2 linked regions of the Callithrix jacchus genome follow. The protein of the gene in region 1 interacts with the protein of each later gene in a pairwise test. Links are inferred from orthologs where the notes say so. Each region holds a gene or a part of one and is shown on either strand. Other genes may lie near its edges. The genes, in order: CD63 and TIMP1.

What was found.
Region 2: the proteins of CD63 (region 1) and TIMP1 interact in binary tests that used the Homo sapiens proteins (3 or more experiments, as listed by UniProt). The link is inferred for Callithrix jacchus from reciprocal best matches to the Homo sapiens genes CD63 and TIMP1.

The regions. Positions count from the first base shown.
Region 1 is NC_133510.1:63,927,423-63,933,425, forward strand, and holds CD63 (CD63 antigen), read left to right. Parts: upstream 1-1,973; 5' UTR 1,974-2,193; intron 2,194-2,616; 5' UTR 2,617-2,627; coding exon 2,628-2,693; intron 2,694-3,630; coding exon 3,631-3,819; intron 3,820-4,015; coding exon 4,016-4,090; intron 4,091-4,184; coding exon 4,185-4,280; intron 4,281-4,693; coding exon 4,694-4,834; intron 4,835-5,061; coding exon 5,062-5,145; intron 5,146-5,325; coding exon 5,326-5,391; 3' UTR 5,392-5,481; downstream 5,482-6,003. UniProt on the Homo sapiens protein: Functions as a cell surface receptor for TIMP1 and plays a role in the activation of cellular signaling cascades. Plays a role in the activation of ITGB1 and integrin signaling, leading to the activation of AKT, FAK/PTK2 and MAP kinases.
Region 2 is NC_133524.1:48,546,503-48,552,657, forward strand, and holds the start of TIMP1 (metalloproteinase inhibitor 1), read left to right. Parts: upstream 1-2,159; 5' UTR 2,160-2,198; intron 2,199-3,421; 5' UTR 3,422-3,429; coding exon 3,430-3,550; intron 3,551-4,843; coding exon 4,844-4,923; intron 4,924-5,108; coding exon 5,109-5,235; intron 5,236-5,444; coding exon 5,445-5,569; intron 5,570-6,155. UniProt on the Homo sapiens protein: Metalloproteinase inhibitor that functions by forming one to one complexes with target metalloproteinases, such as collagenases, and irreversibly inactivates them by binding to their catalytic zinc cofactor.

The sequences.
Region 1 (6,003 bases):
GAAAGTCTCTCAATCTTGGTTTTCAGACCACCTTCAACACATCTCACTACATCCTTCCCAAGCACTTCGAGCCAGCCAACCCCAAGCTGTCATATACTTTAAAAAAATGCTCCTTTTTGGCCGGGCGCGGTGGCTCAAGCGTGTAATCCCAGCACTTTGGGAGGCCGAGGCGGGTGGATCATGAGCTCAAGAGATCGAGACCATCCTGGTCAACATGGTGAAACCCCGACTCTACTAAAAATACAAAAAATGAGCTGGGCATGGTGGCGCCTGCCTGTAATCCCAGCTACTCAGGAGGCTGAGGCAGGAGAATTGCCTGAACCCAGGAGGCGGAGGTTGCAGTGAGCCGAGATAGCCGAGATCGCACCATTGCACTCGAGCCTGGGTAACAAGAGCGAAACTCCGTCTCAAAAAAAAAAAAAAGCTCTTTTTTTTTTTTTTTTTTTTCACAGTTAACTGCTTCCCTGTCCCTGGAGCTCTCCCCTTTATTCTCCAAGGTCACCTTGAGCACACCACCCTGCTCCATGAAATCCATTCTCCTATCGTCCCTTTGAGCTTAACCAGCTGCCGCAGCAGGCTTCTGCCTTTCTTCAGTGTGGCCAGAACTTGGTTCTGCCTGCTGGCACAGGGCAGGGCCACTGTCTTCCTCTCCTTGCAGCCCCCGTGCCTAGCACATGCCTGGCATCTAGTGGCAGCACAATGAGGAACCTGAATCCTCCTTTTTTCAGCTCTTCGCTCCTCCTCCACAGCCTGCCCTCCATGGCTAGGGAGAACAAGGTCGGGAATTGGCTTGGTGTGTCCGGCGGGAAGGCCATGATCCTGGAAGCTGCTTCTCAGTTCAGCCCAGAGGTTTCTTTCCTTCTTTGTGTACACACATAAACCAAGACTTTAGATACATACATACACCAAGACTCAGGAAGTGGTTCTTGAGGCAGGACTCTAAGAGCCCAAGGAGTGGGGCCCAGGCTGGAGTGTGACGGCCGGTCCTACCCTCTGGTCTGTTCAGATCAGCTCCTTCTGGGGACCACCGCTGGCACACAAGGGAGGGAGGCTGCTTCGCCCCCCTAGCCCGCTTCCAGCCCTCACCTGGCTTTGTCTTCTGGGATAAGACGGGGAAATCCAGAGGACATAAGCCTCTCCCGCCTTCGTGTCTTCCCGCAAGCCCACGCCATAGCAGGCGGATGCAGGAGCTGTCCGGGAGGTTGGGAGCACAGACCTTGTCAATCCTCCCCCAGAGGACGGGACCCGACGAGGACGTGTCTTCTTTGACTGGAGAGTGTGGCTTCGAGGAAGGGTTTCCTCCTCTTTGCTCAGACCAGGAGCCCTGGAAAATGGAGAAGCTGTGCTAATGGAGGGGACCAGAAACCCCCACTCTAGAATACTCTAGCATGTTGGGAGACACCCACGATGAGAGGCCAGGGACTTTCTAGAAGTGCTTGTTCTGACCCCATCCGACCCAGGCAGACCACAGCTGTCTGCAGAGTCGGATGGGGAGGGGCTCGCACTGAGTTGGAGCCAGAGGAGAGAGCTGGGCTGTGGGAGAAGGATAGGGAAGCCTCTCTCAGACCGCCGGGTCACTAGTCCTCCGCTCTCCGCCCCGGCCCTGAGAGGGTAACTCTCACCCGCCTCCTCCGCTTCTCTGAACCAGAGTGACCCAGGCGGCGCTCCGCCCCGCTCTCCTACTCGGTGTTGGCGCGGAGGTGGGGGCGCCGGAGGGGGGCCCCCGGCGCCTCGAGGTCTTGCCCCTGCGGCTTTCCCTTTTCGGGGGTGGGCGCTGTCTTCCGGGTAGAGGCCACGTGGCCCTGGCTGGGCGGGGGGCTCGGCCCACCCCGCGCCGGCCCCAGTGACTCAGACCTCAGCTGTTCCCGCGTCACATGAGGGAGGTCGGCGGCCACCCGGCGGGGGAGGGGACCGTGGCTGGAGCCCGGGGCGGGGCTGCGCGGCAGGCGGGGCGGGAGCCGGGGGGCGCAGCTAGAGAGCCCCGGCGCCGCGGCGGGAGAGGAGCGCGCAGCCTTGGGGAACCCAGGTGAGGCCGGGGGGTCCCGGCGGACTTGGGCGCGGGCTGGCGGAGACCACCGGCGTTCTCCTCCTCCAGGGCTGGCCCCAGGCCCGAGGAGACCTGCCCGGCGCTCTCCAGCCTCCGTCGAGCAACTTTGCTTCGAAGTTCCCAGGCCAGGGCAGGGTGTGGCAGGGGTGCGGGCCGCACTTTATTTTCGTGGGCGGAGAGGTCCAATCCCAGGGAAAAGGGGTCGGGGTGGGGGTCGGTGTTGGGCTGAAGACCGTTTGTCCGGACCGGTTGGGCGGGGAGGGGGTGTCTGACTCCGGGAGGCTGGCAGGCCGAGGATCGGCTTCTGACTCAAGCCCCTGCCGGCGTCCTTGGATCTGTCCTGGGCCCCACGGGCGGCGGGGCGGGGTCCGGGCTTTGCGGCCGTCACCCCCACCCCTCTCCTGCGGGTGGAGAGGGGGCTGGGAGACGTGGATCCAACCGCGGGTTTCCGGGTGGGAGGGGCCGGGAATCGGGGCGTGCAGGGAAGCCCTCGAGGGCCGGCGGGGAGCGCGGAAGGCGAGGTCCCCTCTCGGCCTGTGTTAATCCCCCCGCCCTCCCCTCTGCCCCAGGCCCGGCAGCCATGGCGGTGGAAGGAGGAATGAAATGTGTGAAGTTCTTGCTCTATGTCCTCCTGCTGGCCTTTTGCGTGAGTGGCGAGGGGTCCTGGGGAGCGCGCTGGCAGGGTGCGGGGAGACCTGGCAGCACACTGGTGAGGGCTGAGGGAGTAAGAATGAAGGCAGCTGGAGACCAGATGTGGAAGGAAAGCCGGGGAAGACAGCGCGGCCACTCCCTCCTCCAGCTTTCCTGGACACCTGAGGCTGGTTTCCACAGAGAATGGCCATCCTGGGGTGCAGCAACCCCTACCCCCACCCCTCCTGGCCCTTCCTGTCTGGTGACCCAACCACTTGTGATATGGGGCAGTGAGTGGGGCAACCAGCCAACCGCCTGATGCTATCGCCACGGGGCTTCCCTTCTCTCCCTTCTCCCCTCTCTTCCTCACCCACACCCCCATCCCTCTCCAGTCCTTCTCCCCCTTTCCCTCCTCCCAGCGCTTGGGGGTGAGGAAGGGCTCTGCCCACCTCAATTTGCTCCTGCTCTGGGCTCCTGTCTTGAGAGGCTACTGTTTGTCTAGGGAGGGGCACATCTCTCTTTCCCCCTTTTCTTCTTCCCTTCTCTTGGCCTAACTAGCCAGAGGAACCTTAGTTACAGCTGAGGCGCGTAGGGTGTGCACTGGAGGATAGCGAGGGGCCAGTTCTGGGAGAGAACTGAGCTGCGAACCCTTGAGGCCCGTAGAAAGCCTTATTCTAGGTCAGAAACATGCGCCTTGGGGGAGGTCAAGGCTTTCTGGGAAGCCTTTGAATTTGGTCAAGTCCCTGATTAAAGAGCCTGGAGGGGGTCAGAGGAGCTGGGGCCAGGCAAGGATGGGTCATCCCCCATCCCCACAGCCGAAAAAGTTCACTGGAGGTGTGAGAATCTCTCCTCTGGTTAGGGCCAAGTCTGTGTCCTGGGTGTACCCCTGTCCTCCACCATGGAGGGCCACTGTGTTGTGGGTCCAGCCTAATCCTCGCCTGCCTTTCTCTTAGGCCTGTGCAGTGGGACTCATTGCTGTGGGTGTCGGGGCACAGCTTGTCCTGAGTCAGACCATAATCCAGGGGGCTACCCCTGGCTCCCTGTTGCCTGTGGTCATCATTGCAGTGGGTGTCTTCCTCTTCTTGGTGGCCTTTGTGGGCTGCTGTGGGGCCTGCAAGGAGAACTACTGTCTTATGATCACGGTGAGTGGCAGGGAGTGGGGCCAGCATGGGTGGTCTGGGACTGCCAGGGCAGCTTGGTTGGGGCTCAGGAAGGTGGGTGAGGTGAGGTGGGTAGGTGGGTGAGGAAGACGTTTGTGAGTGTCCAGGGACGGAGTGGGCCGGAATGGGCCCCTGTAATGCAGACCCCAAACCTGATTCCTGTCCTTTGCTCCTGCAGTTTGCCATCTTCCTGTCTCTTATCATGCTGGTAGAGGTGGCCGCAGCCATTGCTGGCTATGTGTTTAGAGATAAGGTAAGCAGGAAATAACGGGAAGGGCCTGCCTCAGCCTGGCAGGGACCCAGGTGCTTGAATTCTGACTGCAACAATGCTCCTTACCTACTCTCAGGTAATGTCAGAGTTTAATAACAACTTCCGGCAGCAGATGGAGAATTACCCAAAAAACAACCACACTGCTTCGATTCTGGACAGGATGCAGACAGATGTGAGTGGGGTTATTGGGAGCAGGGGTGGGAATAGAGAATTCTCATCTCCAAGGCTGGGCGCGTTAGCTCATGCCTGTAATCTTAGCAGTTTGGGAGGTCAAGGTGGGTGGATCACCTGAGGTCAGGAGTTCAAGACCAGCCTGGCCAACATGGCGAAACCTGTCTCTAATAAAAATACAAAAATTAGCCAGGTGTGGTGGCGTGCACTTGTAATCCCAGGTACTCAGGAGGCTAAGGCAGGAGAAACGCTTGAACCTGGGAGGCAGAGGTTGCAATGAGCCAAGATCGTGCCACTGAACTCCAGCCTGGGCAACAGAGCAAGTCTCTGTCTAAAAAATAAAAAAGGAATTCTCAGCTCCATATTGAAGATGGAGGTTCACTTAACCTTCTCCGTATTTCTTCCCTCCCCCAGTTTAAGTGCTGTGGGGCTGCTAACTACACAGATTGGGAGAAAATCCCTTCCATGTCGAAGAACCGAGTCCCTGACTCCTGCTGCGTTAATGTCACTGTGGGCTGTGGGATTAATTTCACCGAGAAGCAGATCCATAAGGAGGTAGGGAGGAGACTGTGTACGGGACTTGGGAAACCTGGGAAATGTTTTGGGAGGCAAGCGAGACCTAGGATGGAGGTGGACAGGGTCAGGGATGGGGAGGGGATCTGGAAATGATAAGGGTGGGGTGAAAGGTACAGGGGCAGGGAAGAGACCGATGGACCAGGGGAGGGGGATGGGGTGGTAAGTTTCTGATGGTGCTTTTGTCCTGTGTGCCTGCCACCCTTCAGGGCTGTGTGGAGAAGATTGGGGGCTGGCTGAGGAAAAACGTGCTGGTGGTGGCTGCAGCAGCCCTTGGAATTGCTTTTGTCGAGGTGAGAGATAACCCTGAGGAGGGGCTGGACTCAGTCCAGGGTGCCTGGAGTAGGGGCAGTGGGGAGGGTGCTGAGCAGGAGGTACTGGCCTGGGAGTGTGTGTTTGGGGTCTCTTGCATGGGTCTGGGGTAGCTTGCCCTTCTGACTCCTCTCCACCCCCATCCCCATCTTTCTTTCTAGGTCTTGGGAATTGTCTTTGCCTGTTGCCTCGTGAAGAGTATCAGAAGTGGCTACGAGGTGATGTAGGGTCTGGACTCTTCGCCCTCTTCATCTTGGGGAGTGGAGTAGTATCCTCCAGGTTTTTCAATTAAACGGATTATTTTTTCAGACGGAAAAGAGAGATGGTCTGAGTTTGTCTTAGAGAGATGCTTGATTCCTTCCTTTCCTTACCCATGTTCCCTGTCCTCTGGGACCTTACTGTTTGTGTACTTCAGGAAGGTGTATTGTGGGGGCATTTGGGAAAGGAGGACTTTGCTGAAGGTGTTGGTTGGGCAGGCAGTGGGAGAGGTGGCAATCCAGAGACTGTGGTGCTTCCTGCCCCCTAGTCTTGTGCCGCCAGGCTCACTCCGAACGTTCACGAAGCCATCTGCTGCATGACTCAAAGCAGCTCCCCAGAAAGGTCCCACCTGGGAGAGCCCAGCCCACAGCTACCTTGGACATCTTCCTGGCCTTTTGTGCACCGCTAAGGGCTTAGCACCTCCTGCCCTGGCCAGTTCTCCAGGGATCCAGCTCCTTTCAAAGTGGTGATAAGTTGCCTTGACACCTGTGTGGCCAGTCTCCTCCTTAGCAAGAGAATTTATGTGAATATTGCCTTTTTTTCCATGGAAGCCACCCAGCCTGACCCCCATCCCTCTTCAT
Region 2 (6,155 bases), on another chromosome or scaffold:
GATTCTCCTGCCTCAGCCTCCTGAGTAGCTGGGATTACAGGCACATGCCACCATGGCCAGCTAATTTTTGTATTTTTAGTAGAGATGGGGTTTCACCATGTTGGCCAGGATGGTCTCAATCTCTTGAACTCGTGATCCACCTACCCTGGCCTCACAAAGTGCTGTGATTACAGGCATGAGCCACCACACCTGGCCTTTTTAAAATAGAGACAGGGTTTCACCATGTTGCCCAGACTGGTCTCGAGCTCCTGAGCTCAAGCAATCTGCCTGCCTCAGCCTTCCAAAGTGCTGGGGTTATAGGCATGAGCCACTGTGGCTTGCCAAATGCATTCTTATTAGATTTAGAAGGCTGGGCGCAGTGGCTCACGCCTGTAATCCCAGCACTTTGGGAGGCCAAGGAGGGCGAATCACCTGAGGTCAGGAGTTCGAGACCAGCCTGACCAATATGATAAAACCTGTCTCTACTAAAAATACAAAAATTAGGCGTGGTGGCATGTGCCTGTAATGCCAGCTACTTGGGAGGCTGAGACAGGAGAATCTCTTGAACCCCAGAGGCGGAGGTTGCAGTGAGCTGAGACTGCACCACTGCACTCCAGCCTGGGAGAAAGAGCGAGACTCCATCTCAAAAAAGAAAACAAGGAAAAAAAAAGAAAAAGAAAAAAAAGATTTAGGGGATACAGCTGCAGTTTTGTGACATAGATATATTGCATAGTGGTGGAGTCTGGGCTTTTAGTGTCACCATCACCCAAATAGTGTACATCGTACCCATTAGATAATTTCTCATTCCTCATCCCACCCACCTCCGCACCCAGAACAGTGCTGGATACGCAGTAAGCACTCCGTGAGGGCTGCTGGTAGTTTTGGTTGTGTTCTTGTTATTGGGATAACATACCTGAGTTAATCAAACTTAATTAGCAAGGGAGTATGGTGAGTGAATGAGATAATTTATACAAACACGTCAGCACATAGTACACAGAAAGTGCTCAATAAGCGGTTGCCATCATCAATACCATTATTATGATGGATCTATCCTCCTCGAATTAAGGATGGTCATCAGAACCCCAGGGAAGATTTCTGCATTGTCAAAAAGCTGGTGGGCAAGGATTGCCCCACCCTAACCCCAACCTAGGGCATAGGTCCGTGGGGAAGGCACAGGGCAGCATGGGGTGGGGATTGGTTTTCTACTGACTCACTCACTTGCTTCTTCCACCATCATTCACAGCCACCCCCTTCCCAATGCTTATTCATTCACTCGCACCATTCCCTGCCTGCTAGGATGGTGCCACTCCTGAGTTACAATCCTGGCACCAGGTAGCCTCAGTTTGAATCCCGGCCACACCCTGTGATCTTGGGAAAGGTCTTCAGTCCCTCTACGTCCCATATTTCCTCATCTGTAAAATGGGAATAGTAACTGGTACCCACCTCAGAGATTTGTTGTGATCTTTGAGTGAGATAAACTATACTGAGTGCTTAGTATACAGTCGGTGATATATAAATGCCAGCTATTTGTCAGTGTTTTTTGAGACCCTGGCTTTGGCTCTAGGCCACCTGAGTTCCAGTCTCAGTTCTGCCATGTATTGACTCTTTGATCCTGGATAAGTCACTTAACTGCTCCGTGCCTTAGTTTCCCCACTTTGTATTCCTCCCCATTCACCTGCTTTATCTCCCTCCATTCCTGCTACTTAACTTGTTTCCTCTCTGCCACCCCTCACCAGCATGTCAGACATACCAAACAAGGGATTTTTGTGTGCTTGGCACACAGTAGATGCACAATAAATGTTGAAGGACTGAACTAATTTGGGTTTGAGCCACAGGGAGCTTGGGGGATGTGGGTGATTGGATAGATTCTGGAGACTCTAGGGGACTAGGCTGGGGTGAATGCTGTCTCTAAGCTCTCCACTGGGGCGGCTTGGAAGGAATAGTGACTGACGTGGAGATGGGGGAGGGGGCTGGCCTGGGCAAGGCCCAGGGGGAGGGAGAGGAGGAGGGTGGGAGAGGAGGAGGGTGTATCTCCTTTCTCCGGCCCGCCCCTTGGCTTCTGCACTGATGGTGGGTGGATGAGTAATGCATCCAGGAAGCCTGGAGGCCTGTGGTTTCCGCACCCGCTGCCACCCCCGCCCCTAGCGTGGACATTTATCCTCTAGCGCTCAGGCCCTGCCGCCATCGCCGCAGATCCAGCACCCAGAGAGACACCAGAGGTAAGCAAGGCCCCAGGGTGGCCCAGCAGGGACTGGGGCTGGCTTGCAGCTTGGGTGCTGGCCACCAGGCCTGTGCACTCCAGTGCCAAATGCCTGTCTGCTCAGCTTGGCCTGCCGGTACCAGGACCCTGGGCTAGTCAAGGGGGAAGAGGGTCCGAGGCTGAAACCGCTTTCCCAGCCCCGAGGCTCCGAACTCCCTAGAACACCTGACATTCATCCCCAACTCCCGTGACCCCCCCCTGAATATCACAAATGCTTTCCAAATCTCCCACCTCCGCCGCAAACTCCTTCATCCCGTAACTTCATCGCCCCCTAAATCCCCATCGCAAATCCCTGCAGCTCCCTAAACTCCCCCAGCTCCCAAACTCCCAACCATTTTTTTTTTTTAAACACGGAGTCTCACTCTGTCACTCAGGCTGGAGTGCAGCGGCGGAATCTCGGCTCACTGCAACCTCCTCCACCTCCTGGGTTCAAGCGATTCTCCTGCCTCAGTCTCCTGAGTAGCTGGGACTACGGGCGCCTGCCACCATGCCCGGCTGATTTTTTGTATTTTTAGTAGAGACCGGATTTCACCGTGTTAGCCAGGATGGTCTCGATCTCCTAACCTCATGATTTGCCCACCTCGGCCTCCCAAAGTGCTGGGATTACAGGCGTGAGCCACTGCGCCCAGCCCCAAACTTCTTTTGCCCTCAAATTCCTCAAGTATCCCCATTGCTTTAAGCCCCCAAATTCCCCCAGCCCCTTCAACCTCCAAACTCCCCCAGCTCCCTAAACCCCTAACCTCCTCCAAATTCTTAACCTCCCTAAATCCCCCAGCCCCCATATCTCTTAATATACACAACCCCTAAGCTCTCCACCTCCTCGAAACTCATTCATCCCCCCAATCCCAAATTCCTCACTCCCAAACTCCTCAACCTCCAGACTTCCCCAATCCCCTCATTCCTCAAAATTCCTGAGCCCCCTCCTCCCCCAAGTGCCACAACTCCATAATCCCGCAACTCACTCAGTCCCTCAATAACTTAAATTCTCCCAACTCTCTAAATCCTAAATTCCTCTGGGCTCCCCAATCCCCTGAAAATCCCCAAATTCCCCAACACTTCAAGACCAAATCCAGTCCCCTAATCCCCTCCATAGGTTGCCCCAGAGCGGGATGGGGTGGATGACCTGCCCAGGTCTGCAGATCAGCTGGCCTGGGGCCTGCCTGACATCCCCCTTTCCCGCAGAACCAACTATGGCCCCCTTTGCACCCCTGGCTTCCGGCATCCTGTTGTTGCTGTGGCTGATAGCCCCCAGCAGGGCCTGCACCTGTGTCCAACCCCACCCACAGACGGCCTTCTGCAATTCTGACCTTGGTGAGTTCTCATCCCACTCAGCCCACACACTCTGCCTTGGTTTCCCCTCTCAGTCTGGTGGGGCTCACAATGTCACTTACCTCTGGATCGATTCCACTTGCCCCTGCACTTCCTCTGCTTTAGCCACACTGGCATCCTCACACTTCCTTGTGTACTCCGGGCCCAAGCCTACCACAGGACCTTCTTGCTGGCTGCTCCCTCTGCCTGGTACACTTTCCCCCCAGGTATCCACATGGGTGGCTGCCTCAAACGTCACCTTCTCAGGATAGCCTTCCCTGGCCATCCTGTTTAAAATTTTAACCCCTGCCCCTTAGTACTCCTGATCTCCTGTTAAAGAGAAAAATATTCAGTGATACTCATTATAGCACACAGTAAGGAAGACCATATTCAGGACTATGGTGATGGATATAGGAACCACTGCCATGGGATCTTGCAGTCAGAGGGGAGAGATTGGGCTCAACACTGAATATAGCATGGGCCAGTGGGAATGTACAGCCAAGGACCAGTGTGAGGGTCTGTGGGTGGAAATCACTGAAAGGAAACATCAGGGGTAATGGATTCTGGCAAAACCGACCTAACAGGATTCTTGCTGAAGGCAGGCCAGAAGAATCACACATCACCTGGGGGATGGTGGAAGATGAAGAACCTGATCAGGTAGCAAGGATGATCAGACGTTGAGGATGATCAGATAGAAGGATGACCAGAGACTGAGGAGGATCAGATATGGAGGACAGGGGTTCTTGCTAAACTAATCCCAGGGCTGTTTGCTAAAATTAAATTTTACAAGGAAGTGCACAGATGGGCCTAGGAGAAGGTTCAGGAGCCTGAGTAAAGTTTGGTCAAGCAAAGAATCTTTGTCATCCCCTTACCCAGGTGTGTAATTCCCCATTATCGTTACTATCTTCTAACATTCCCATATACTTCTTTTGTTTGTTCTTAGCCTGTCTCCTCCTGGCTAGAATGTGAACTCCACAAAGGAAGGGATCTCTGTGTTTTGTTCACTGCTGTGTCCCTAACACCCAGAACAATGTCTGGGACACAGTGGGCACTCCGAAATATTTGTGGAGTAAATGAACAAATGAATATATGAAAATGGCTTAAGCAGTGCCTGGCAAAGAGAGACATTCAACATACAGACGAAACAATGAACAAATGTGTGTAAATCACTTAGCGTGCTGTCTGGCATCCAATAAACCCTCTTTATGTACACACTTTGCTGGTATTATGAGATGATGATCTTATTTTTTTGGCTCATGCAGTCCATTTGACTCATATTTCCCTCCTCTCCTGCAGTCATCAAGGCCAAGTTCGTGGGGGCACCAGAAGTCAACCAGACCACCTTATACCAGCGTTATGAGATCAAGATGACCAAGGTACTCCCCCTGCCCCTTTCCCAGCATTTTCTAACCTCTTCCTCCTGGTCAAAACAGAAGCTTCTGGCCACTGGTTGGTGCGAGAAAGTTGGCTGTGATCTCGGGATGCTATATGACTTCAGGGAAGAACGTGGAATGGGAGGATTATGTCAGTAAAAGAGACACTTCCCCTCATCCATCAACAGATGTATAAAGGGTTCCAGGCCTTAGGGGATACCGCTGACATCCGGTTCGTCTACACCCCCGCCATGGAGAGTGTCTGCGGATACTTCCACAGGTCCCACAACCGCAGCGAGGAGTTTCTCATCGCTGGTGAGGCACCGTTCCCGCGCCCTGTGCCACGCCAACCAGTCCCTGGGGGCGCGGCCTAGCAACCGGGAGGGGGCGAGGCTCTGATGGGAATGGCCCCACTGGAAATGGGGACCACCCCAATTTCAGCCTATCAGTAGGCTGGGCCTTTGCCCGCCCGGTGGCTCACCCAATCACAAGCTGCTTGTCGGTTTCCCCCCTTTTCCTCCTAGGAAAACTGCAGGACGGACTCTTGCACATCACCACCTGCAGTTTTGTGGTTCCCTGGAACAGTCTGAGCTTAGCTCAGCGCCGGGGCTTCACCAAGACCTACTCTGTTGGCTGTGAGGAATGTACAGTGAGTGCCTGGACCCCAACCTCCAACGGGAGATCCTTCCTGGGGCCCTTCTCTAAACCATGGGCTTGTTTCTTGCTCCCTCTGACTATTCCGTGTCCCTGTGGCTGCCCCCCAACCCTAGGGGCTGTCCCTGATCTCTCTTGTTATTTCCCTAAGCCCAAGACTGCTCCCTTACAAATTCTGGCTGCTCCCTTGCCCTGTGTCAAATACCCTGTGATCGCCTGACCCTGGTCCCTGTAACTCTCCCTTGTGACTATTCTGTAATCCCACTGTCTATTCCTGAGCCCCTGGGATTGGTTATTGGTTCCCTAGAATGTTCTCCAAGAACCCAAAGTGCTGGTCCCTAATCCCACTGACCCTTCCTCAGCACATCTGCACCTCTGCAGCTCTGACTGTTCCAGACACCAGAGGGTGTTACATTGATCTCCTGGCTAGTCCAAGTCTGTTCTCTGAAGGCCCCTGATGTCCTCTGAGCCCAATGACTATCTTGGAGTCCCACTGGTTATTCCTGTGCTTAAACTCCTCAGCTGCCAACCGGGTGGGGCTTCTTACTACTGCCAGTTTTCCCCTGTCCTTTGGGACAATT